Lonchura striata: one gene and its partners. The protein of the gene in region 1 purifies or fractionates together with the protein of each later gene. This does not show direct contact. Links are inferred from orthologs where the notes say so. Each region holds a gene or a part of one and is shown in the gene's direction. Other genes may lie near its edges.

Region 1 (8,058 bases):
TGAGGATAGTGACCCACTGGCAGAGGTTTTCCAGAGAAACTGTGGATGCCTCATCCCTGGGAGTGTTCAAAGCCAGGTTGGACTGAGTTCTGAGCAGCCTGGTCTCCTGGAATGTGTCCCTGCCCATGGCTGGGGGGATTGAAATTAGGTGATCTTCAAGGTCCCTTCCAACCCAAACCATTCACAGACTCAATTACATTTCTGTGAATACACTTTTTGCAAATGACCAGAAGGAAATGGAGTGGAGGAAGTAACATGTACATTTGTTCTAGGACACTGTCATTAAGAGAGAAATCTTGAAGGAAGGCTTGAATTAATTAATTTAAAAAATTAATTCCTCCTGGATCCAAGGAGCAGGTGTATTCCATGCTGTTGGGACAGAGCTGTGGTGTGGAAATCAAAACAAGAATAATTTTTTTAGAATTAGCTTCCCTAATTGGTATGTGCTGAGAGATCCAAGTGTGCTTCAGAGATGCTGGATGCAGATGGTCATCCCATATCTGTGAAAATCTAAATCCCCATGCTGCTCTTTCCTGCCATTTCTTGCATCAGAGGAGATACTTTTTTCTTTTTTAATAATTAAATTCTTGCTGGAAAAGGGTGCTATCCTTTGTACTGGCTTCTGCCATGATACTGTTGCAGATTGAAGCATGATCACAAAATACTCAGATCCTTGTATTTATAACTTGTGTAATAGTTTAAACAGATGTCTCTTTTCTAATGGAACACACTAAAATTTTCATCATGAAATACAAATATTCTTTTGGACCAAAAACTCCACACAGTACTTTGAAATAGTTACATGGAGAGTAAAGGAGCTGAAGTGTCTCGTTTTGCATTTGTATTCTGGAGCAGGACAGTGGCTTTTCATTTCTGGTGTCTGAAACCCTAAAGTCTATGAAACATACCTAAGAGATGCAAATAATAGAAAGCTTAAATCCACTCTCAGATCTGGTAACATTTTAATGGTCCACAAATTTAAAGGCTAAAAACTAGTAAAGTCAAACTTAAATTTAGTTTGAACTGAGATCTGAAAATATTTTTTAGTAATGGGAAGGGAGATCTAGAGAGCAACTAATCAAGCATCCTGCTCAAAGTGAGTATTTTTAAAAATCTTTCAAAGATAGGGATTTCACAGCCTTTCTGGGTATCCTGTTCCTGGACTGAATTCTCACTGTGGAGAATTTTTCCCATGTTCTACTGGGATTTCCCTTGCTCTGGCATGTGGCTGTGATCTCCTGACTTGCGCACTTTCCGTAAAAAGAGTCTGGATTCCTTGTGTTTGTAACTCCACTTTAAAGGGTAGAAGACCAAAGTTGTTTACTCCTCTAGTGGAACAAATCCAGTTCCTTTGGTGCCCCCATGTCAGATCCATTGAGCTCTGAAATGTATTTATGAATGTTTAGAATAATCTACAAGTTGCCAGTATTCTGAGTAACTTAAAGGCTAGCATAGACTAAAGAGTGCTCATTTTGCTTGTTTCAAAGTACTTTTTCCTGTGTGATTTTGAGCTGCACGATTTTATTTAGAGTAATTCTTGATGTCATTGGGGGCAGGTTATTAATTTTGGAGGAATGAGTACAATATCTGAAGTTTGGACAGATAGCTGTGTTTGCATTTTGCTTCCCTATCTGTCCCCTACTTGTTGCATCCAGTGCTTCTCAGGTAATAATAAACTTGTTTACTTGCCTGCCTTCTGTTGGCAATATCTGGCCCTGCTGTGTTTAATGAGTAATAAGTTTGTCACAAAACCTGAAGCACAAGTATCATACGCATCAGGAATGACTTTCTTTTAATAATCACTTTTCCAGGAGATGATTCAGTTTATTGTTGCAGGGAGTTGTGTAAAATGTAACTTAACAGAATATTAATAGAATGCTCTGTGAGATAACTGAGGATCTTTGGCTGTGGGGTGGTGGAATGCAACACTTGCTGAATCACCTCCATTAAACCCAAAGGCTCAATGATTGCACTTTAGTCTAAGCTTAGCAGAGAAAAAGGTCATCTTGATTCTCTACTGCAAAAAATGTTTACTCTAAATATATATAAAATGCTAAGCACGTTGTAGTGTATGTTGATGGAAGAGTGCCTGAGAACATGCATCACTCCTTGCTTTTTGAAGTGTTGTACTTTTCTAGGAAAAGCTATTGTATTGTGTTCCCAAGCAGCCACCCTACCCTCTCTACCTATTTTTCCCCTTTCCAAAACTAACAAAAAAACCACCAAACAATCAAACAAACATAAAACTAAGAAAAAAAAAACCTAATTAGTTTTCTTTTTCCCCACAAGGCTTTTAAAGAGGTATTTGGTATAGGTAATGTGCAATAAGAGGCTTTCAAGTTTGTTGAAATACGTCAGATGGCTTAATTATTTACCCATGTGTCTGACTGTGACATCTAAACCAGTCCTTGTGCCTCACCTGGCATGCCTTGCATGGTGACTTGAGATACATTCAGTTGTAGAGTTATTCAAAGACAAAAAACCTATTTTTTTTTGTTTTGGTCCTTTTTTTTTGTTGTTGTTGATTTTGGGTTTTTTTTGGTTGTGTTGGTTTTTTCTGTTTGTTTGTTTTTGTTTGGTTTTTGTTTTTTGTTTTTGTTTTTTTGGTGGAGAACATTAATAACATTTGTTTTTTCCTGACCTCCTCATGGATAGTGGTGCCATCCTCAGGGTACTGGAGCTGATGAAGCTGCTTTGTGTCAGAAGTGAATCCTGCCTGTAGTGTCTTAGATTTGTGAATGGTAAGTGTTACTCGAGGAACTGGCCAGAATGGCTGTTGTTTACTTAATAATGGCATTTCAGTTGTTGAATATCTCACTAAGCTAAACTGACTTCAGTGGATTAAAATATTTGCAGGCTCCAAGGAGACTGGAATATAAAAATAATAGACACCTGTTTTGTTTCTGTGTTTGGTACAGATCTAGTGAAGAGCTGACAGACTGCATCTAAATAATGTATTTTATCATTGAATCTTGCTTTTAAAATCTTTTTTCAGAGGAAGAGGGAGTGTTGGGACAGAAGTTCACTTTAGGAAGTAGTTAATTTCTGTTTAGTGAGTAGTGTTTAAGATATGAGGACATTATACCAGGATGGAACAAATTTACTAGCCTATTTCACTACTTATTGTAATCCTTGTATTAAATGTGGTTGTGCTTCCTTCTGAGGTGTTTGTGGAGTTTTCCTCAAGTCTCAGACCTTGAGATCTGTTTCCCTCAGTCTTCAGTTCTTTAAGAGACACAACTTCACAGACCAGCAGCCAATCTTGAGGACTTTCTGAGCAGTTTCATTTTAAATTGTGTGGGTGTGAAGAAATGTGATCAATGAGATCTCATGCAGATCCATAGTCTACTGTGCCTGGACTATTTCTGTTACCCAAGCTAATAATCTCAAATCAATACTGTTATTTTTTCACTACATTACAGCCTGCTGAAGACCATGAGTGCAGTTTTCTTTAACCTGCTGGACCCCAGAGTCTCCTTTTTTTGTAAATAATTTATAAGCAGTTTTTCAGGAAGGCTGTACTTACTTCTTATGCTTGTGTGAACTCTTCCCCTAAAACAAGCTTCACTCTTGCTGCTGGTAACTTCTGTGAACGTTTCTAAATGCTGTGGAGACAATATCTCCTCTGCTAAGCACACGCACATTAGTGGATTTTCTTTGTAGAAAAACATGACTCAAATCTCAGCTGATTCCTGTTCATAAAATTCCATAGTAGCAGCTCTGTGTTCTCCCTGCTTCTACAGCATGCAGGCGTTTATTTGCTAAATCAATTTTTCAGTTTTGGCACAGCAGAATGTCTCTAGCTGACTGTAACACAGATGTTGCTGTGATGCTGCTCAGGTCCTTCCCTCCAAAGGATTTGGGGTTCCCCTGTGCTGTGTGCCCTTCCAAAGGAGGCAGAGGGACAAAGTAAGCACAGACAGCTTTTGTTGGGCATTCCAGATTCTCTGGCAGAATTTGGAATTGCCCATGCTCATCCTGGATACCTGCAGCCTCTGAGACTGCAAGGGGAATACAGCTTTGCTTATAGTGACTCTTTAAATGTGTGCTGAATCCAGTGAGCTCATTGGGCTCACTCATAGTAACTCCTGAAAATACTCCTATATTTTTTTTTTTTTGTTCCATCATTTCCTTCTAAGAAATGACCCACCCCCTAATCTGGGAGTGAAAGCACCTTTTGAGTTTATCAGTGGTTTTTTTGCAGTGAAGTTTGTACGATGCCTGGTTTTTCCTGGAGGAGGCTGTGAAGCATCTGGTGGGGGCAGATGAAGTGTGTGGGGCGAGGTCAGAATCCCCTGCTTTGACTGCTCTGGAGTTCCAGTCCAAGAACTGCTGGACACAAACAGCTGCTGAGATGTCTCATTTTCCTGTTTCCCACAAAGGAAAAAACAGCAGCTGGGTTTAAAATGCCTGAGCTGATTTAAATGAGTTTCTGGTTATTTCTACACATATCTTCAGTTTCATCACCAGAGTGCAGAGTGAGGAGGGAGGAAGGACTCCCAACTGTCCATTTTAGTCAAAAAGACTATTTCTTACATTTCTGTTAATGCTTCTACTCTGTCCTCACCCTAAAGGAGAAAAATGTATCAATACTCTAAGGTGGCACAATAGAAATGCCATGGGGCTGAGAGCTTTGGGGACAGGGAGGTTGCTGGTACTTCAACAAACCCATGCTTGACTCTTCCTCATCTTGCTTTATGGTCATATGAGGCAAAAAAAGGTAAGAACATTTAGCATCTATACCTTTACCAGTTGTGTAATAGCAAAGCAGTGGGTGAATGTTTAGTTATCCTGTGGTTTCTCATGTTAGGATCTTATTAGCACATGCAAAAGTACATTGTAATATCAGTTCAGGGGGCTGAAAGCTGCTGTTTTGGATACAGAATTGTTCTGAATTGCAAACTAGGTCTGTCTTCAGAGCTGGAATGAACTGCAGATGAAACTCCTAGTGAAGAATAAAGAAAAAATGTTTTTAATGCTACAGTACAATAATGCTTCTAGGACAGGGGTCTGTCTCAGGAGGATAATATTGGAAGGTTTTTTGGTTTTTTTTCTCTCTTAAATAATTTGTATATGCCTAAATCTGGCAAAGAGTAATTACTGTGGGCAATTGAGAAAGGGCAGGGGTAGTTGGGATGAGGATGAAGAGTTGCTAGGACTTATGAAACTTCTGGACCTTATGAAATCACTCGAGTTTTGTTGTCAGCTTTGGAAATACCTGCGTTTTATGACTTCTACTTTTATAATGGCTCTGTTCAGAGCTGCCATGCCCAGGAACCTCTCAGAGATGAATCTGCACCTTGCTGACATCCACTGCATAGAGGGATGTGCAGTGGAGTTCTGGAATTGGAATGTGTAGGGGGGGGATATGCATGTGTGTGTGTCTATTTTCAAAATATCTGCTGCTGCGTGTTTGTGATGGAAAAGGGAAGCACCCTGAAGTACAAGGCTGAAAACTGTAGTGCAGTTAACAACAGGAGATGGTGAGTTGTTGTAAAGAGAATTGATTTCTCCTCTATAGCTGTGGACCTTGGGGTAATTTTATCTCCGATAGAGTGCAGATTTACCCCGGTTGTAACTCCTGGTAAGATCCAAGTTGTCACCTTCATCTTTGTTTCAAGCAGACCTCAAATAGTTTTGTTCTTAAAATTATTATTTTTTAAGGGAGTCTGAACTCAGCGTGTGTTTTAGCTTTTATTTTTAAGGATATTCTAGAAAGCTTTCTTTTTCTTAAAGGTTGTAAATTTGTGCATTGACTATTTAAGTGCATTTTATATGTAATCTGTTTTCACAAGATGTTATCTGGTTTACTGGTTCCTTTTTTCTTTTATAGAAAAGACTTAATGCAGAGCTTTTTTATTTTTTAATTATTTTTTTTTATTCTTTATTGTCTTAGGATGAATATTTAAACAGCGTTCTTCAATCTTGCTTCAAAATGTCCCTGTGCACATCTTCTCACAAGGACTTTTCTCAGTTGCTTCCACTTCAGGATATTGGATGCAATAAGACAGAAATTAAAAACTCACCTGCTGGTGTCATCTCTCCAGTCCCTTACAACTGCAACCAGTCCACGCTGACAGCAGAGCACAGCCCACTCTACATTCCCTCATCCTTCATGGAAAACAGGCACGAATATTCCACCGTGGCGTTCTGCAGCCCCGCTATGGTCAATTACAACATTGGCAGCAATTTTGGGGACGCGGAGGGCGTGACGGCGAGGCAAACCTCCAGCCCCAGCGCCCTGTGGGCTGCTCCTGGCCACCTGTCCCCCCTGAGCCTGCACTGCCAGTCCTCCCTGCTGTACCCAGAGCAGCCCAAGAGCCTCTGGTGCGAGGCTCGCCCCATGGAGCCAGTGCTGCCCGGGAGCAGGTCAGTGCTGCTTCTTGCTTTCAGACTTGCCCGGGTATTATTTACAGCTTCCTTAGCTCAACTCTTTTCTTTTTGCATTCAAATTAAAGTGTTGGTCCCTCTGAAAAACAAAACGACGCAAAAAGTAACTCCGCTAGACACTAAATCACTCAGGGAGTGTGTGTGTTTGTTTTTAATGTAACTTCTAAAATTAGGGGTTTTTTTCCAATACCTCCTTAGAGTACTATACACCAACACAGAGCATTACAAATATCTTCAGTGTGGGAGCAGTTTACATTGTGCAAATAAAAGTCCAAGACAGCTAAGTACTATTTTGTGTAACAAAATTAATTCTGCTCTGTCAGATTAAGTCATTTGAGTGAAAGAGGGAAATACTAATTCTTTTTGCCTTTTCATATAATATTGAGTTAATTTTTACCCAGATTTTTTTTTTTTTTTTACTGCTTCTAAGAGATGTGAAGGCTTTTTGTTAACTTGAAATCCAAGGGAAATGTTTTCTTTGATTTTTGGCTTTAGTATAAGCAGTCACACAGCAGCATGCAGGACATTAAAAGGGGGCTGCTGCTGAAAAAGCCTGACTTTGTTTCTTGCTGCTGCTCCCAACTAACTCCATAAAATTATTGTGAAGAGCAGAGTCACAGGCTAAATTTGCAGCTGACAAGAAAGTCTGTTTGCAAAAGCACATTCTTGTTCTGCACGTTTACTCATATTGCAAACCCAAATCAGCATCTGGATCATCAGCTGATGAAATTGCTCCATTCTTGGGCACAACACTAGCTGGGTGGATAAAAGCTCGGAGTCTGCAGGTGCTGTTCCTGCTTCAGCAGCTGTATGTTTATTCATAGGCCTCCTTATTTAACTTCAGCAGTCATTTGGAGTATGAAAAATAGTGTGTCCTGTAACAGTTTAAGTTCAATAGTTAATAAAGGATTTGTGCTATTTTTGAGACTACCCACACTCCTTCTGCAATGGGTGGGCTTTATGGAGTGCAAATGTGCTTTCAGTGTAGGTGTGTGGATTGGGAAAGACTCTTTGGGTAGCACTTACATACAGAAGAATTCCCCGAGCAGCTTTGATGTGAACAGGGGTAATCCAAACTCTTTTCACTTTGGTTAAGGTTCCAAAACTTAGACAGCCCTGGGAAGGTTAGGGTTTGAAGCTGTCCAGATGTTGGAATAGCAGCTGGAATAACCCAGGAGCAAGAGCACCCTGTCTGATGCTCTGCAGTGCCCACTCTACAACAGACAGAAGGGAAGCCAAACCTGTCCCACTGGAGTTTAAATAAATAATCATCAGCTATTTGTATGGATATATAAGGACTATTTCTCATGCAGCTGATGATGACCTAACTTAAAGAGAATAAAGAAATTCTGGAGTATAATCTCTTTTTCACAGAATGGTTTGAATTGAAAGGTGTCTTAAAAACCATCTAGTTCCAACCCCTCTGCCATGGACAGGGACATTTTCCCCTGGACCACGTTGCTCAGAGTAGAAGGATGACGAGGAGAAAATCAGTGATTTATTACTTTAAGTGAAACCTTAATTCCTTTTTAGAAAGCTAGTATTTGTATATAGAAACCACCATCATAAAATAGAGAGGAATACTAGGAGGTGTAAAGTGATAAATCTTTCACTATGTGGTTCCTCGGTAGCCACCAGGATACATCCCCTGTTTTCCTGCATCCTTTG
Region 2 (8,128 bases), on another chromosome or scaffold:
GCATTTTTGAATTCATTTTGTTTGGTTTTTTTTTGTTCAAACACATACTGATCAGCTTCTGAAACACAAAGCTTTCTGTCAAGGCACTCTTGTCTAGTGCTCTCCTTAGACAAAATCTCCAATTTTTTGTTCAACACTGGATGTGGGTGTTCGTAAACTTCCCTTGGCACGAAGATAATCCAGCAAGTGCTCCTAGTTAGGCTCTGAGAAGTGTCCTATGCATGTGGATACTGTAACATCCTGAGATTTTTGTCACTTAGTCAGCCCCTGTTGCTTGCTGTCCCTTTTAGCACATGTGCCCCAGAACTTCAGCCAAAGTACTTACAGCATAAAGAAGAAAGGCACAGGGGAAAGAGAACAGAAAACACTTTACAAGAAGAATAACTTTAGTTCAGAATTCCGAAACAAATCTACTCTTTTATTTTGTTTAGGGAAAACATAAAAATTTAGGCATCTCTGTGGAAATGGATTTGGATTAGGGCATCCTGCAAAACTTTAACCCTCCTACAACTATTTGCTTTTGCTTCTGATGGATGGAGTCCCTCATGTCTGCTGCAGGTTATCTTGTTCTGTTGTAAGGCAGCAGATCTTGCTTCATTAAGTTCTGACCTCTTCTCCTCTGTGGGTTTTTTCCTATCTAAGCCTAAAATACACTCTTCATCTCATTACCAATGAGACTTTTGCTCTGTATATCTACCCTGTCTTTATACACATTCTACAACTTCCTTGTGAGAGGACGAGGAGGGGCAGGCACTGATCTCTTCTCTCTGGTGACCAGTGACAAGATTGGAGGGAAGCTGCGCCAGAGGAATGTTAGGTTGATTATTAGGAAGAGGTTCTTCCCCTTAGGGCTGCTGGGCACTGGAACAGGCTCCCCAGGGAAGTGGTCACAGCACCAAGCCTGACAGTTCAAAAAGCATTTGGACAATGCTCTCAGGCACTTGGTGTGACTCTTGGCAATGGTCCTCTGGAGGACCAGGGTTGGACTTGATGATTCTGATGTGTCCCTTCCAACTCAACATATTCTGTGATTCTGTAAGCACCTGTCACTGACAGAGTGAAGCCATCAGGCTCAATGGACCTTTAGGCTGCCCCAGATCCTTGTCAATTTTCAGACTGCTTCAATGAGGCAGTGAGCTGGAGAGCCATACATCTCCAGCACTGCCACTGGGATACCTGTTCCTCAAGCAACTGGTTTTCACACTACCCATACTAATAGCCTGAACTCATGCTATCTACCAATCCCATCTCTGATTACAAAAAACCACCCCAGATCTCATTTCAGGATTGTCTGCATGTAGGCTGGTAACATAAGCAATCAGCAACTTTGGGTTAGAGCTCAACCCTAGGCTTGTGCTCAAGAATTTGCATATACTACAGATATACCCCTCCATCTGTCCCCAACCCATGCACTTGACAGGCTCAGCCTGGTTTCCTTATTCTGCTTTCAGTAATTTTTCACTTCAGAAACCTCAAGCCCCACACAGAGGCAACCTTTTCTTTATGTCAGGCCATCCTCAAAGACGGCACCCCAAAGCTTTGAATAGTCCCAAATGATATGCTTACCCCTCATTATCTAAGTCTAAAAACAAAAGCAGGTAATGTGCTGCAGGCAGCAGTCCCCAGTTCTGTGATTGAACAGAGCATGAATAGCAGGTTACACAAGGACAAGGGTAATCAGGCTCACAATTGAAACAGGTCCCCAGAGTAGAACATTGCCCAGCTGGGCTCAAGAAGGACATCCCTGCCACCAAGTGACTAAAGTTCCTCAGAGGGCTTAGTGAAGCATTGGGGTAGTTTGCATGGATTAGGTAAGCATCTACAGTCTGTCAAGTAAACACAGAGACAGAAAGAGAAGCCCTTTGGAGTTAATCTTGGGATAAATAGATTAAACATGGTTTTCTTGCATTTCCCTTCACCCCTGCCGTAACAAATTTTCACAGAGGGATGGGGTGCAGGTGGTTGAGCATGTAAATAAACTCCGCTCATTTTTATCTTACTTTCATTTGTGCTAAAAACTGATTTTGAACTGGCAAATGCAGACCCCAGCCACCCAAGCAGAAGCAGAATCTTTCCATTAGTAGGAATCTTTCTGGAACATGCTAGCCATGCCTACCACAGAAGTACATTTCCTTCAAAAATCCCAAATAATAACTACATGCACTCCTGATCAGTCTAGAAAATGGTCACTCAGGGATCTCTGTACAAGTGTCTCCTAGGGGCAAGCAAGCACAAGCAAACTCTTTGGCAGAAGCAGGATTGTTGGGAAATACACCTGAAATTTGTGCAAAAATCTTCCACCTTGAAGGGGCAGCCATCAGTTTCTAAGGGCTGACAGCTCTAATGATCAAAGAGAAACATAACATAGCCCTTAATTGCTGGACTTCATATACACCACAGTCTCTATTTAGCAATGTGCAAGAGCAATTCTGTAACCTCCAGTTGAAACCATGTATGAACCCCAATGTCTTTGAAATCATGCTCCAGATTGCAAATGCATTTAGGATTTTTTTCCATGGTGAGCATAGGATTAGAAAAATGTAGGAAATCAAGGAAGTTGTATTTACATCAACTAGTTACCAAGAATAAGTGGGCAATATTTTATAGGTGGCCTGCTCCTCTAGCTTAATTGGTGATTAATTATATGTGGGGAATAAAACCCATTCACTCCAGTGGTGCTTTGTTTCTGTAGAGCTGCCAGGGGTGAGAAGTAACAATTGCTGAGCACAGTGAGGACTGAAGGGCTCCTCTGCTGCTGAACAAAGCCAAGCTGCAGGGCGACAGATGGCAGATGGGATTCACCATAGGCCGTGAAGAGGCCATACTCATCACTGGCATTCTCCACCCCTTCAGCTCTGCTGGCTGCTCCAGGAGGTGGGTCAGTGGGACTGTGACCCTGAACCAACTCCCCTTTTTCTCTTCTGAGAAACAGTTAGCAACTAAATGCCATCCCAACATACCCTGTGATGCAAAGCGTGGCTGCAGTTCCCAGCGCTTGGCCAGGTGTGCACAGGAGAGACACTTCACTGCTCTCCTTCAGTGCAGTGCTCATGGCAATCATTTGCAATGTATCCATGTCAGTAAAACTGCTGATTTTTTCACTTTCACAGCTGGCAACTGCAAGAATGAATGCACCTTTCCAGGCAGCTCCTCCTTCACCTCCCCACATGGATGACTTCCTTTGCCAAGGCCAGTTTTCTTATAACCTCTTTTATAACCCAGAGAGGAAATCATACTTTCATCTGCATGGGGGAAGCAATGGCGACCCATGAAAAACTTAACAAAAAAATAAACCTGGAAAAGCAGAGATTTATTTCCAGAATTTCCTCTGAAATAGTAACTCCTCTTAAAAAGAAGGTCCCTGTAAGTCTAAAGAAAAGCTTCTTAAATTCAGTTTTTTAATTAATTTCCACTACTCCCATGTAGAAAAAACTACTGACAAAATCCAGTTACCTATAAATGTATATCCCATGTAACTCAGAGCAACTAGCAACATTCTCAAATTCCAAGGTTCAGTATCCAGAGACATTGTCATCACCTTGGGAGATGACAGGATTGACATCAACCCCCCCTCAGTAAGAGATAACTTCTCTGTGTCTAAAATATGTCATCCAGAGAAAGGCAACAGAGCTGGTGAAAAGTCTGGAGCACAAATCCTATGAGAGGCACCTGCGGGGGCTGGGGCTGTTCAGCCTGGAGGAGAGGCTGCTCAGGGGGAACCCTCTCACTCTCTACAACCGCCTGAAAGGAGGCTGTAGCTAGGTGGGGGTCAGTCTCTTCTCCCAAGCAACCAGCGACAGGACAAGAGGACATTAGTTTCTTCACAGAACAGGTGATTAGACATTGGAATGGGCTGTCCGCGGTGGTGTCGGAGTCGCCGTCTCTGGAGGTGTTTAAGGAGACTGGACGTGGCGTTGTGCCATGGTTTAGCTGACAAGGCGGTGACTGCCACGGGTTGGACCCGCTGGCCTCAGAGGTCTTTTCCAACATAATTGATTCTGCAATTCCTTGATTTCTTTTTCCCCATGGGAAAAATCCAAACAAGGTGAAATCTGTTTTTTGGTACAAATCTCCAGAGCAGCGCTGCTGCCCCAGACGCACTGCAAGTCCCAGCGCTCCGTACTCGGAGTCCCGCTTTCAGCGCTGTCCTTCCGAGACAGGAGGCCGCGCCGGGGGTCTCCTGCTGACCTGGTGGCCACCGTGAATGTAACCCCAGGTATAAAAGCCACCGGCCTCCCGTCGGGGCAGGATTTCAGGAACGCCGAGGCGCCGCCGAGCCAAAGCCGGCGCCGGCCCCGGACGGCGGCCGCAGGCTCCGCCGGGGCGGCAGCGCGCAGCCGCGGCCCCGCCCCCGGCCCCGCCCGCCAATGGGCGGGGAGCGCCGCGGTGATGGCGGCGGCCGCGGGGCGCGTGCTGCGGCTGTGCCGCCGCGGGGGCGCGGGGCCGCGCGCGCAGGTGAGAGCCGGGCGGGCGGTGAGGGGCGGGCATGGCCCCGCCGGGCACGGCCCCAAGCGGCGACACGGCCCCGGTGCGGCGCTGCCCCTGCCCCTGGGCCGGCGGGGCTGAGGCAGCCCTGCGTGGGGAATGGGGAGGGCTGGCGCCGCGTTCAAGTTTCCGTGAGCTGTGTTTGTTTCCCTTGATGTGAAGAGGAAGACGCTTGGTTAAGCCTGGAATTAATAGAGTGACATACAGAGCAAAGCCAGCGTAAAAGATGGCAGGTTTTAGGTTGATAATTTTGAATAGTAAGCTGAAACACGAGAAGTTCCACCTCAACGTGAAGAAGAACTTTACGTTGATGTTGGTAGGGACTGGGGTCCCCTCCCCGGGGACCTTCCAGACCCCCCTGGAAGCATTCCTGTGTTACCTGCTCCTGGTGACCTTGCCTTGCAGGGGGGTTGGACTGGATCACCTCCAGAGATCTCTTCCAACCCTGATAATGCTGGGATTCTGTAAATTATATTCGGTCAGCAGGTGAGTAGATCACGAGGCACAAAATCACAGAAAGATTAGGGTTGGAAAGGGCCTTGAAGAACACCCCTAGTGCCATGGGCAGGGGCATGTTCCCCTAGACCGGGTTGCACAGGACAAGTCTCTGAATACCTGCAGTGGAGAGAGAAACGTGCTCCACAAGTGAGGTAACTTCTGATTAAACAGAATCATTTTGTTTTGGGGGGTAGGGGCGTTCAGCTGATTGCCATTTAATTAAAAAGCTTAGCTGCTGTCAGTATTGTTTGTACAATGGTATTTGATACACCTGTATATATATTTAATCAGTGACCAGCAAGTGGATAAAAAGGCCTGCTGGTAATGCTTTCAAGTTACAAAGTAATTTAGGATAATATGGGCTGAAGAACTGTTGGTGACTGAACTAAACCAAGCCATGGGGTAACAGAAGAAAGACACAGTAAGAAAATGAAATGTAATACCGGAAGGAGCAATTTGAGCTATTTATATTGGTTACATTTAGATTAACTTTACCCATTAGGGATAAAGACCTGGTGCCCATGTGGGTAGTTCTTTATGCAGCAATCAGGAATACATGCTCTTAAGGTGTGCAAGGAATAACAAAGAGAATAAAGCTGAAAATATTCTAATACTTGTTTTCATTCTCAGTTGGAATAGTCTGTGTTGCTTTGGTTGTCTTGTGTCAAAAGTATGATTATGATAGTAACTTGGTTTTCCTGGCGAGGCACGTCCTTAAGTTTTAAGATTTGTATTGTAAATGAGAGAATGTTCTCAAAGGAGGAGTCACAGAGAAAGGTGGGACTGGAAGGGGCCTTGAGGGATCATTTATCTATTCCTCTCAGCCCTAGAGAGGGGATCAGTACCTAAGCCTGTGGCTATACACAAATTGTCTAGCTGTCTGTGAACCAAAGAATGTGAAGAGAACTAATGGGAGACAGAGCCCAGAAACCTTAGAGACTCTTTTGTCCGTTTGGTGTAGTTAACTTGTGGAACTGTTTGCTGAGAATGTTCAGGATGGTAAGCATTTATGTGAATACAAAAATCAAGTTGAGAAACTTGGAAGAACATTCACTGAGCACTTAAAAAAGAAGATAGTGGCATGCCTGAAGTACAGATTGCTGGAAACCAGGCAAATGCCCTGGGAAAATTATCACTACCTGTTTGTCTTGTCCTTGTGCCTCTCATATGGGCAGTGTATAAGTTGATGTATCCATGTTCTGACCTGCTATAACAATTTCTTACATTAAACGCTTACCTGTCCTGACTGTTTTATGATGCTTATCCTCCAAATGTCTTGCAGTTGTTTAGGTCATTACTTCTTGTTTGTCTTTGTGGGAGAAAATGTTTTATTTCTTAACTTTAAAGTTTCTTGCACTGAAAGGCAAAATGGAAGAGGAACTTTGTAATTGCAGTTCCCTGAGCAACAAATGTAGTTTCCTATTCTTCCAGAAAGCAAACAACAGAGATGTAGTACTATTTATAAAGAAAAAATGATCTAGCTTAGTTAGATAGCTATTCTATCATTCACTCTGATGTGATTGAATAGCTAGTCTCAGCAGAAGAGTTCAGAGTTCCTATTTAATTTGACTGGTTTGAGTACTTTATCTAAATCACCGTGGATGTTATATGTACCAATATCAGAAAGAGATTATGGTACTTTGGTGACAGACTTTCAGAAATACATACTTTTACTGTAAGAGAAGCCTTTTTTGCAGTTGTTAACTAAGATACAACTGAAAAGCCTCTTAGTACCTGAAAACTTGAGCCTAAAAACAACTAGATCTGAATTCTGTTCCCTGTTATATACAGCATTGATGCATTTAAGAGCTATTTTTTCTTCCCCGCTGTATAGCAAAATTTAATATGTAGATTTTTTTAAACATGGTTAAAATCTTCTTTAAAGAAAGCAGATTTTCTGAGCAGGTGAGATACTGTTCTATGGTTACTTGCCAAGGGACTTAATTTTGAAAAAAAAATCTTCTGACGAAATACTTTGTGAAATCAGGTATAAAAAATAACATAAAATCACTTATGCATATTTGTTGACATCTTGTGATGCTTTCTGATGTGCTTTGCAAAATGCTTCTGAGACATCCATCTGATACTGGTTTATATAATTAGATTGTAGGCTAACTAAAATCTAAGATTATATCAGTGTTGTTTTAAATAAATCAATTAAAACACATATTTGTGAAACAGTACTCTAGAAATCCAAAACTTGCTTATTGAGGAAAAAGCAATTCTTTAGAAATTGGGATGGCTCTGAGCATTTATATTCTGTATAATTGCTATGTAAAAAATTATTTTTCTTGTGCAACAAGTAAACAGAGGACTGCTTGCATGTCTGCTGGGTTCAGGAGCATCAGCTGTGCCAGAAGCTGGAGTATTGGACACTGGGCAGCTTTAGTGCATAGTGATGTGGTTATACAGCTCATTCCACGTAGTGAAGTCCTTAGTGAAGTCCTACCCCAACTTGTACCCCAACTTCTTGGTACAAATTTGTTTGTGTACTACATGGGTTTTGAAAAGGAGGTGGTTGAAGTCTGCTAGTTTAGGGCATGGAAGAATCATGAAAATGGTGCAACACTATATGTGCCATGTCATGGGGTGTCATCTTCCGTCTCTATTACTGTGTCTTGTTGTAAAATGAACAACTTTCGGGCTTCAGTTTAAATCTCCTGACTCCAGTCCACCTTTCCTCCCAATACAAAAGTACAGGAAGCTTGACTTCCCTGTTTATTGGTTTGGTTTATATCTGTGTAACTCCAGTGAAGCAAAATTAACAGGATGAGTAAATACAGTCCTAGTTCCTTCTCTTCCTGGAAGAAAATAGGCCAGAGAAGTTGACGCTGTCTGAAAATGCTAATTTTTTTTCTAAGGCAAATTTAACATAAGCTGATTTTCTATAAGTTTATGGTCTCCCTGTAAAGTCAGGATTTGCCAAACAGTTTTAATTCTAGGTTGCTCAGAAAGGAATTGGGAAGGAAGGGTTAATCGCAATGAGTTGTGTCCAGAAATAAAGACTTTCCCTTCTCCCATGTTATGGTGCAAGAGCAGGTTATTTCATGACCATTGTTAATAATGTTAATAAGCATTAATATTATTTTAAAAATGGTTAGGCTGCTGTCTTCAGTAATGCCTTATGAAATGTGTGAGAAGTGAA
Region 3 (8,042 bases), on another chromosome or scaffold:
CTGCTCTTTATACAGAGCTTTGTGAGGACCAACTCCATTGGTTCTGAAATGAAAACAACCCAAAGCATTGGTGCAAAGTGCTTGACGCACAGTGATAGAAATTCACTATAAACAATGTGAAAAACAAGAGAAATAAAGAATTATTTGCATTCTTTCCCAGCACTTTCCCAGGTTTCTGCCTGGCTAGAAACTCTGTTTCTTCCTTTGAATCTGAGTCCCACACCTTGGAAATGAAGAGGGATGGAGAAAGGAAAAAAATCCTATGGTAACATTTTGTGTTATGGGAATTATGAGTTTTTTTGTTTTTTTTTTATGAGAGGAGGAGGACAAGGAGGAGAAGGAGGAGAAGGAGAAAGGAGGAGGAGAAAGGAGGAGGAGAAGGAGAAGGAGAAGGAGAAGGAGAAGGAGAAAAAAGAGAGATGGAGGAATAGGAAAGGAGAAGGAGAGGGAGAAGGAGAGAAGGAGGAGGAGGAGAAGGAGAAGGAGAAAAGAAGGAGAAGGAAAAGGAGGAGGAGAAGAGAAGGAGAAAAAGGAGAGAAGGAGAAAAAGGAGAGAAGGAGGAGGAGGAGGAAATGGAGAAGGAAAAGGAGAGAAGGAGGAGGAGGAGGAAATTGAGAAGGAGAGGGAGAAGGAGAAGGAGAGAAGGAGAAGGAGAAAAAGGAGAAAAGGAGGAGAAGGAGAAGAAGAAGGAGAGGAGAAGGAGAAGGAGAAAAAGGAGAGGAGGAGGAGGAGAAGGGGAAAGAGAAGGAGAGAAGGAGGAGGAGGAGAAGGAGAAGGAGAGGAGGAGGAGAAGGAGGAGAAGAAGGAGAAGGAGGAGGAGGAGAAGGAGGAGGAGAAGGAGGAGGAGGAGGAGAAGGAGAAAGAAAAGGAGAGAAGGAGAAGAAGGAGGAGAAGAAGAGGAGAAGGAGGAGATCCAATGCTAAGCATTGCCATCAACGTCACGCACTCATAAAAGCTAAAACACACCGCATGTAACACTTGCTACGGTTTTACCACCAAAATTTTCCTTTTTTGGCTGAAATTTGTCAGAATCGGTAAAAACGAGGTGGTGGGAAGGAGCCACTGCTGCATTTATGAGCTCGGCCTGGAGCGACTCCAACCTTTCCAGAACTTTCCAAGGGAAATGTGTCCCTGCTGGGGTGGCAGAAGCGTGACCCCACAGCTGAGGAAGCCAGAGGAGCTGTGGCCACCTCGGGGGATCTCCGGCGGGATTTTTTGGAACTTCAGCTCCTTTTCGGTGCGAGGGGAAAGCCAGCTGTGAAACCACGCCGGGGGATTTTGGCCACAGGGTCGCTCAAGGTCTCGGCATCTGGTTTGGGGACTTCCAGTTCTCAGATGTTTTTGAGAATCAGCTTTTTCCCAAAGAGAATGAGCAGATTTTGGTCCCGAGCTTTTATTTGAGCCAATTCAATTATTCGAGGACGGAAGAGCACTGAGCCAAACGTGAGGTTGTGAAAATTGCGATTCAATTATTCGAGGATGGAAGAGCACTGAGCCAAACGTGAGGTTGTGAAAATTGCAATTCAATTATTCGAGGACGGAAGAGCACTGAGCCAAACGTGAGGTTGTGAAAATTACGATTAAATTATTCGAGGATGGAAGAGCACTGAGCTAAACGTGAGGTTGTGAAAATTGCGATTAAATTATTCGAGGACGGAAGAGCACTGAGCCAAACGTGAGGTTGTGAAAATTGCGATTCAATTATTTGAGGATGGAAGAGCACTGAGCCAAACGTGAGGTTGTGAAAATTGCGATTAAATTATTCGAGGACGGAAGAGCACTGAGCCAAACGTGAGGTTGTGAAAATTCCAGCTGGAGGTTTGGACACGTCCCCTTTTCCCTGTAAATAACATTCCCAGAGGGATTCTCCTGAAAAAAAAAAAAAACAAAAGTGAATTTGGACCTTTTTGCATTCTCTGAGGGGCGAGAAGGAAGAGGGAAGATTTTCCACCCTCACTTTCTAGGAATAAATAAATGTCCATCACGTGGGATTTGGTTCCTTTTCCGCTTTCTAGAATTAATTCCAGTCAGCTGGGGAAACCCTTTTAAATTTTATTTTTCCTTTTGAAAGTTTACTTTCACGGTGAAAGTTTATCTTTCCTTTTTAAAGCTTATCTTTAAAGTCAGCAATAATCAAATTCCACTTGGCTCTGCTGTGAGTTATGATAGGCTGGGGGTCTTGAATCCGTGCTAAATCACTGGGAAAACTTGGAAATAAAATCCAAATATTCCCCTTGGAATTAAAGCTGCGCTGTTCTCCTCGACCTCTACAAGCGCTTGAAGTTGTTCCGGAGGGAGAAAAACTGCAGGAAAAACTTGTTTGTGGGATTTGCTTTGAGATTTGGTTTGGGAGCAGTTCCTGTGCCGGCAGCTGGCTGAGATGAGGAAAATCCAAGTGGAAAATGCAGAGTTGGGAGCGTGGCAAAAAGAGCTTTGAGCTTCTGGAGGTGGGAGGAAATTTGGGGAAGAATCCCTGGCGGGGGTTTGATTTTCCCTCGTTGTCCTGGGGGGATAAATCCTGGGGTAAATGGCCTGCTCCTGCTGCCCAGCCGTGGAAAAGCCAATCCCGGAGGTTCCCGGGTTAAAAAAAAGGTTGGGGGTCTAAAATTGGGGGTTTTGGTGGTTCTGTTGTGCCCCAGGTTTTTGGGGGGGTTGTAAAGTGTTGAGGAAGGAGAGAGTAATCTCAGCGGAGAGGCTAATGAAATGGGAAATATAATAATAATAAATAAAAATAATAAGTATTAAATGATAAATATTAAATAATATATAATAAATAATAAATAAAATTAAATCATAAAAAGTAAAATATAAAATAATATAAAGTAATAAAATTATTCTATTCTATTCTATTCTATTCTATTCTATTCTAATAATATAATATCGTATCATATTATATAATATCACATTATATTATATAATATAATATTATATCATATTATGTTATATTATATTACATTACATTACATTGTATTACATATTATATTATATTATATTATATTATATTATATTATATTAATTATATCACATCACATTATATTATATCACATCACATCACATCACATTATATCATATCACATTATATTATGTATTATATCATATTATGTTATATTATATTATATTACATTGCATTACATTACATTACATTATATCACATTTTATCACATTACATAATATATTGCAATATGTAATATATCTAACGTTATACATAGTATATAATATATAACACATTTAATAAATAATACTATGTAATAAAATATAACTTATACTAAACAATATCATAAACACAACATTTAATATATTGCAATATAGAAAACGTTATATATTATAATAATGCATGTAATAAGTGCTATATATAATATTTAATATAATATATAATACATCTCATTTGAACACCATCAAATCTCCTAGAATTTTAACATTTTAACCTCAAAAAACCCTTTAAAAGATCACTGACACTCTTAAAAAAAAAATACCAAACACAACATTATACTCCAAAAAACCTTTTTATTCTACTCAAAAAAACCCTTATTATTATACTCCAAAAAAAACCTGTTTTTCCTCACACAAAACAACACCTCACCTTGGTTTTGTAATCTCAGCCACCTGCAGGAAGAGGAATAATTCCAAAATAAATTTATCAGAATATACCCATTTCTAACCCCAAAATGAGACCACTAAAAAGCATTTTAAGAACTTTTATTCCATTTTCAATCTCACATAAAAATTAATACAACTCTGTTAATTCGGTGTGAATTTGATGTGGATTCCGTGTGAATTTGATGGAAATTCAGTGTGAATTCGATGGAAATTCAGTGTGAATTTGATGTGAATTCCGTGTGAATTCAATGGAAATTCCGTGAGAATCTGATGGAAATTCAGTGCAAAAATCAATGGAAATTCGGTGTGAATTTGAAGGAAATTCCATATGAATTCAATGGAAATTCCGTGTGAATTTGATGTAAATTCCGTGTGAATTCCATGGAAATTCCATGTGAATTCCATGGAAATTCGGTGTAAATTCGATGTGAATTCCATGTGAATTCAATGGAAATTCCTTGTAAACCCCACACGAGTCCCTGTTTCTCAGCCAGGAGCGCAGATAGTTTATATTTATTCATTTATTCATTTATTCATTAATTTCTCTCTCCGCCCGCCAGCGCAACCTCGCTCCCCTCACAAAATAACGACGCGGCTCCTTTAAGACGCGCCCTCGCTCTGGCCCCGCCCTTTCAGCGCGCGGGTGGGGGCGTGGCTTGGCTTGAGTTTGATTGACAGCGGGGCTATCCAATCAGGTGCCAGAGATCGGGGTGGGGCGGGGCTTCCGGCGGGGCAGCTGAGGCGGCGGCGCTCGGAGGGAGCGGGGCCGCCATGATCAAGAAGTTCGATAAAAAGGACGAGGAGTCCGGTACGGGGGGGCTGGGGGTGAGGAGAGCGGTGCTGGGGCGAGGAGAGGGCTGAGGTGTGCTGGGGTGACAGCGGGGGAAGAGGTGAGGGGGATGCCGAGGTGACAGCGGGGTGGAGATGAGAGAGGTGAGGGAGATGCTGAGCTGAGGGGAGGCTGAGCTGGGGGCAGGGAGATGCTGAGGGGTGAGGGAGATATTGAGGTGAGGGAATTGCTAAGGGAATGGCTGAGGTGAGGGAGATGCTGAGGGGTTTGAGGGAGATGCTGAGGTGAGGGGAGGCTGAGCTGGGGTGAGGGAGAGGCTGAGGGGTGAGGGAGATGCTGAGGGGTGAGGCAATGGCTGAGGTGAGGGAGAGGCTGAGTTGAGGGGAGGGGGATGCTGAGGGCAGGGAGATGCTGGGGGAGGGAATTGCTGAGGGGTGAGGGAGAGGCTGAGGGGTGAGGGAATTGCTAAGGGGATGCTGAGGTGAGGGAATTGCTAAGGGGGTGCTGAGGTGAGGGAATTGCTAAGGGGATGCTGAGGTGAGGGAATTGCTAAGGGGATGCTGAGGGGTAAGGGAATGGCTGAGGTGAGGGAAATGCTGAGGTGTGAGGGAGATGCTGAGGGGATGCTGAGGTGAGGGAGAGGCTGAGGGGTGAGTGAGATGCTGAGGGAGAGGCTGAGGGGAAGGAATGGCTGAGGGGTGAGGGAATGGCTGAAGTGGAGAGGGATGCTGAGGTGAAATAGAATTCCCAGAGCAGCTGTGGCTGCCCCTGGATCCCTGGAAGTGGCCAAGAGCAGGCTGGAGCGGGCTGGGATAGTGGAAGGTGTCCCTGCTGATGACAGGAGGTGGAAGTGAATGATCCTTAAATCTCCTTCCGAGCCATCCCGTGGGTCTGTGATCTCTCACAGCTCGTGGGGTATTTGTGTTTCAGCTGTAAGAACTGACTGCCGAAATATTTCTCCCCTCTGGTGACAAATCCAGAGGAATTGGGGTCTGTTTGCTCTCCCTTTATCCACAGATGATTTTTAGAGAGGATTTTATCCCTGTCTCTGCTCAGTGCAGATGTTTCATCCCTCAAAAAAAGGAGAGTTGATTACATGTGTTTATATACATATACTAAACCTATATAACATAATAACACACATACCCTATGTATTTATATAATAAACCCTAAATAATAACCCTAACCCTGAACGGTGAGCTGATGTATGGAAAGAAAAGAAACCTCTCTTTTTAGTCATTTTGCTGCACAAAGCAAAATCCAAAATGTTTCAGAGGAGCCTTTCCAAACTTTCTCTGTCTGAGCTGTGCCTGCGTATCTGGAATTCACACCAGGGACTTACATTGATATTATAAGTTGTGAGTTTTATGATATTTTATTAATAAGTTATAAAATGATTAATTGTTTTTTTTTTAGGTAAGGTTTTTTTAAGGTTAAATTATTTAATTAAGAAATTATATTTAAATTATTTTTACTTTTAATTTAATAGCTAATTATTTGGAGTTTGTAATGTGGACTTTTTTGTTTGGTTACAAAACATTATTTAAGTGAACTGGAAATGAGGAATTCCTGTTTGGGAGGAGAGGATCGGGAGCAGAAGTGAGGCTGTGGGTGGGACTAATGTGGCTGAAAAGTTTTTTTTCACATCCTGATCTGCATCTCTGCTTTTGGTGCCTGAAGGAATAAAAACAGGTACATTAGGAAAGTAGAAAAAGGAATTAGTTCTATGTAAAGGCCATTTAGGTATTAAAAATATTAAGTATATAAAAGGCATTTTAAATAACAGTTTTCTTCTTCCTCTCCTTTTTTTTTTTATTTTTTACCTTCTTTCTATAACTCTGAATATATCACTTAAGAAAGTGGATTTAAAGCTGTTGATGGCCAACATCAATTATTCAGAGAGGAACATCACTGGTTTGAGGTGGTTTGGTAAAATTTTGGGGGTGTTCCTGCCTGTCCAGACCAGTTGGGATGTGTGAGGAATTAATTTTTTTTCCTCAACTGAGAGGTCTCTTTTTTTTCCTCAGGGAGTGGCTCCAATCCTTTCCAGCATCTGGAGAAGAGTGCTGTGCTTCAGGAGGTAGGAGTAATCACAGGATAATGCCATTTCATTAATGATCTTTTCCTTCAGGAAGCGTTGCAGAATGATTGTGGGGAAATGTGGATGGCTAAATTCATAGAATTAAATAAAAATCACAGAGAGTGTAAATAAATTAATTTTATCTGCAGTTAATGAGGGTTTTTTTTAGGATAATTAGATGACACGTGGCTTCTGCCTTCCATATGGACATGTGGCATCTCAGGGGGCTCTTCCTGGACAAAAAATGTTTTATTTTCAGGCATTTTTGCCTGTTCCAGATGGCAAATTGAGTTGTTTGTGCTTTGTTCAGATTGCTGCAAACGAAAGATGCAAGAACACATTCTCTGGGACACATATTTAATAGAAATAAAAATTACAAGCTGCTCAGCTGGAAACATTCATTTAATTCTGCACATTCTCTGAGACTCATATTTAATACAAATACATATTACAAGCTGCTCATCTGGAAACAGATTCATTTAATTTTGATGTTGAAAGAGAAATAATAATAAAATTGTTATTATTATTGGGATCTATTCAAGCAGAATTTGTTTCATTTCCAGGCACGGCTCTTCAATGAAACCCCAATAAACCCACGAAGATGCCTCCACATCCTTACCAAGATCCTCTACCTGCTGAACCAGGTAACTGTTAGGATTTCTCTCCATCCAGAATGAATTTTAATAATGTTTTAGTGGGAAATATATAATCTTTTTAGAGGGAAAGAAGTTTTCCACAAGGAAAACACCTTGGGAAGCTTCCATCCCTGTGGAGGGCATTTAGAGTGGAGAGAATTGTGAATTCCCTGGGAATGCAAGGATGGTTTCTTACAGGAGAAAGTCTCCAAGGAGAGATTCCTGCTGTGTGGGAGGGCATTAGCAAAAGGAGCTGGATAATTCCTGCTTTTCCTCTCTGCCAATTCCAGGGTGAACACTTCGGAACCACGGAAGCCACGGAAGCTTTTTTTGCCATGACCAGGTTGTTTCAGTCTAACGACGTAAGGACCTGGTGCTTTGCCTCTCCCTGCTTCTGCCTGGGCTTGCAGGAGCTGCCAAACCTTTGGAATTTGGGATGTGGGAGGCAAGCAGTGCACAGGAGGAGCTCTGGAGGCAGTTCCAGCTTTGGAAACAGAGGAGTGGATAATAACCTGTGGTTGTTCTGTGGGGTGGGTTGGGGGTGGAGGTGGGTTCTGAGTGAATTCCTGCTGTAAAAGTGGGGATAATGGCAAAGCCTGGATTCACAAATCTGTGGCACTTGTTGCTTCCCCTTGCAAATCGCCATCTGCTGAATTGGAAATCCTAAAACTGCCTGCAGATCAAAGGCTGCTGTTCCTTAGAACATGGGTCAGCCTTCATCACATTGAGGCAAGGGATGGGAGCACCCTAAAAATCACAGAATGGTTTGGGGGTTGAATTTGGGATTTCATCTTTGGGCTCAGCAGAGTGTAAAGTCCTTCTGTGATCTCTTCTGCAGAGTGTGAGAACTCAGAGCAGTGTGTTTCATGTGATGGGGCTCATTAATTTTAATTTAAAGTGGTTTGCTTGTTAGAGATTTGTTCAAGGAAGATGTAGCTGT

What was found. The genes of interacting proteins can lie anywhere in the genome.
Region 2: the proteins of ESR2 (region 1) and MRPS9 purify together in Homo sapiens (affinity purification with mass spectrometry; 3 studies listed by BioGRID and IntAct, with this or other methods). This does not show direct contact. The link is inferred for Lonchura striata from reciprocal best matches to the Homo sapiens genes ESR2 and MRPS9.
Region 3: the proteins of ESR2 (region 1) and COPG2 purify together in Homo sapiens (affinity purification with mass spectrometry; 3 studies listed by BioGRID and IntAct, with this or other methods). This does not show direct contact. The link is inferred for Lonchura striata from reciprocal best matches to the Homo sapiens genes ESR2 and COPG2.

What each region holds. Positions count from the first base shown.
Region 1 is NC_134608.1:7,192,215-7,200,272, reverse strand, and holds the start of ESR2 (estrogen receptor beta), read left to right. Parts: upstream 1-4,366; 5' UTR 4,367-4,705; coding exon 4,706-4,720; intron 4,721-5,896; coding exon 5,897-6,369; intron 6,370-8,058.
Region 2 is NC_134604.1:89,078,520-89,086,647, forward strand, and holds the start of MRPS9 (small ribosomal subunit protein uS9m), read left to right. Parts: upstream 1-4,380; 5' UTR 4,381-4,389; coding exon 4,390-4,455; intron 4,456-8,128.
Region 3 is NC_134607.1:71,935,746-71,943,787, forward strand, and holds the start of COPG2 (coatomer subunit gamma-2), read left to right. Parts: upstream 1-4,294; 5' UTR 4,295-4,368; coding exon 4,369-4,405; intron 4,406-6,414; coding exon 6,415-6,467; intron 6,468-7,030; coding exon 7,031-7,111; intron 7,112-7,392; coding exon 7,393-7,464; intron 7,465-8,042. UniProt on the Homo sapiens protein: The coatomer is a cytosolic protein complex that binds to dilysine motifs and reversibly associates with Golgi non-clathrin-coated vesicles, which further mediate biosynthetic protein transport from the ER, via the Golgi up to the trans Golgi network.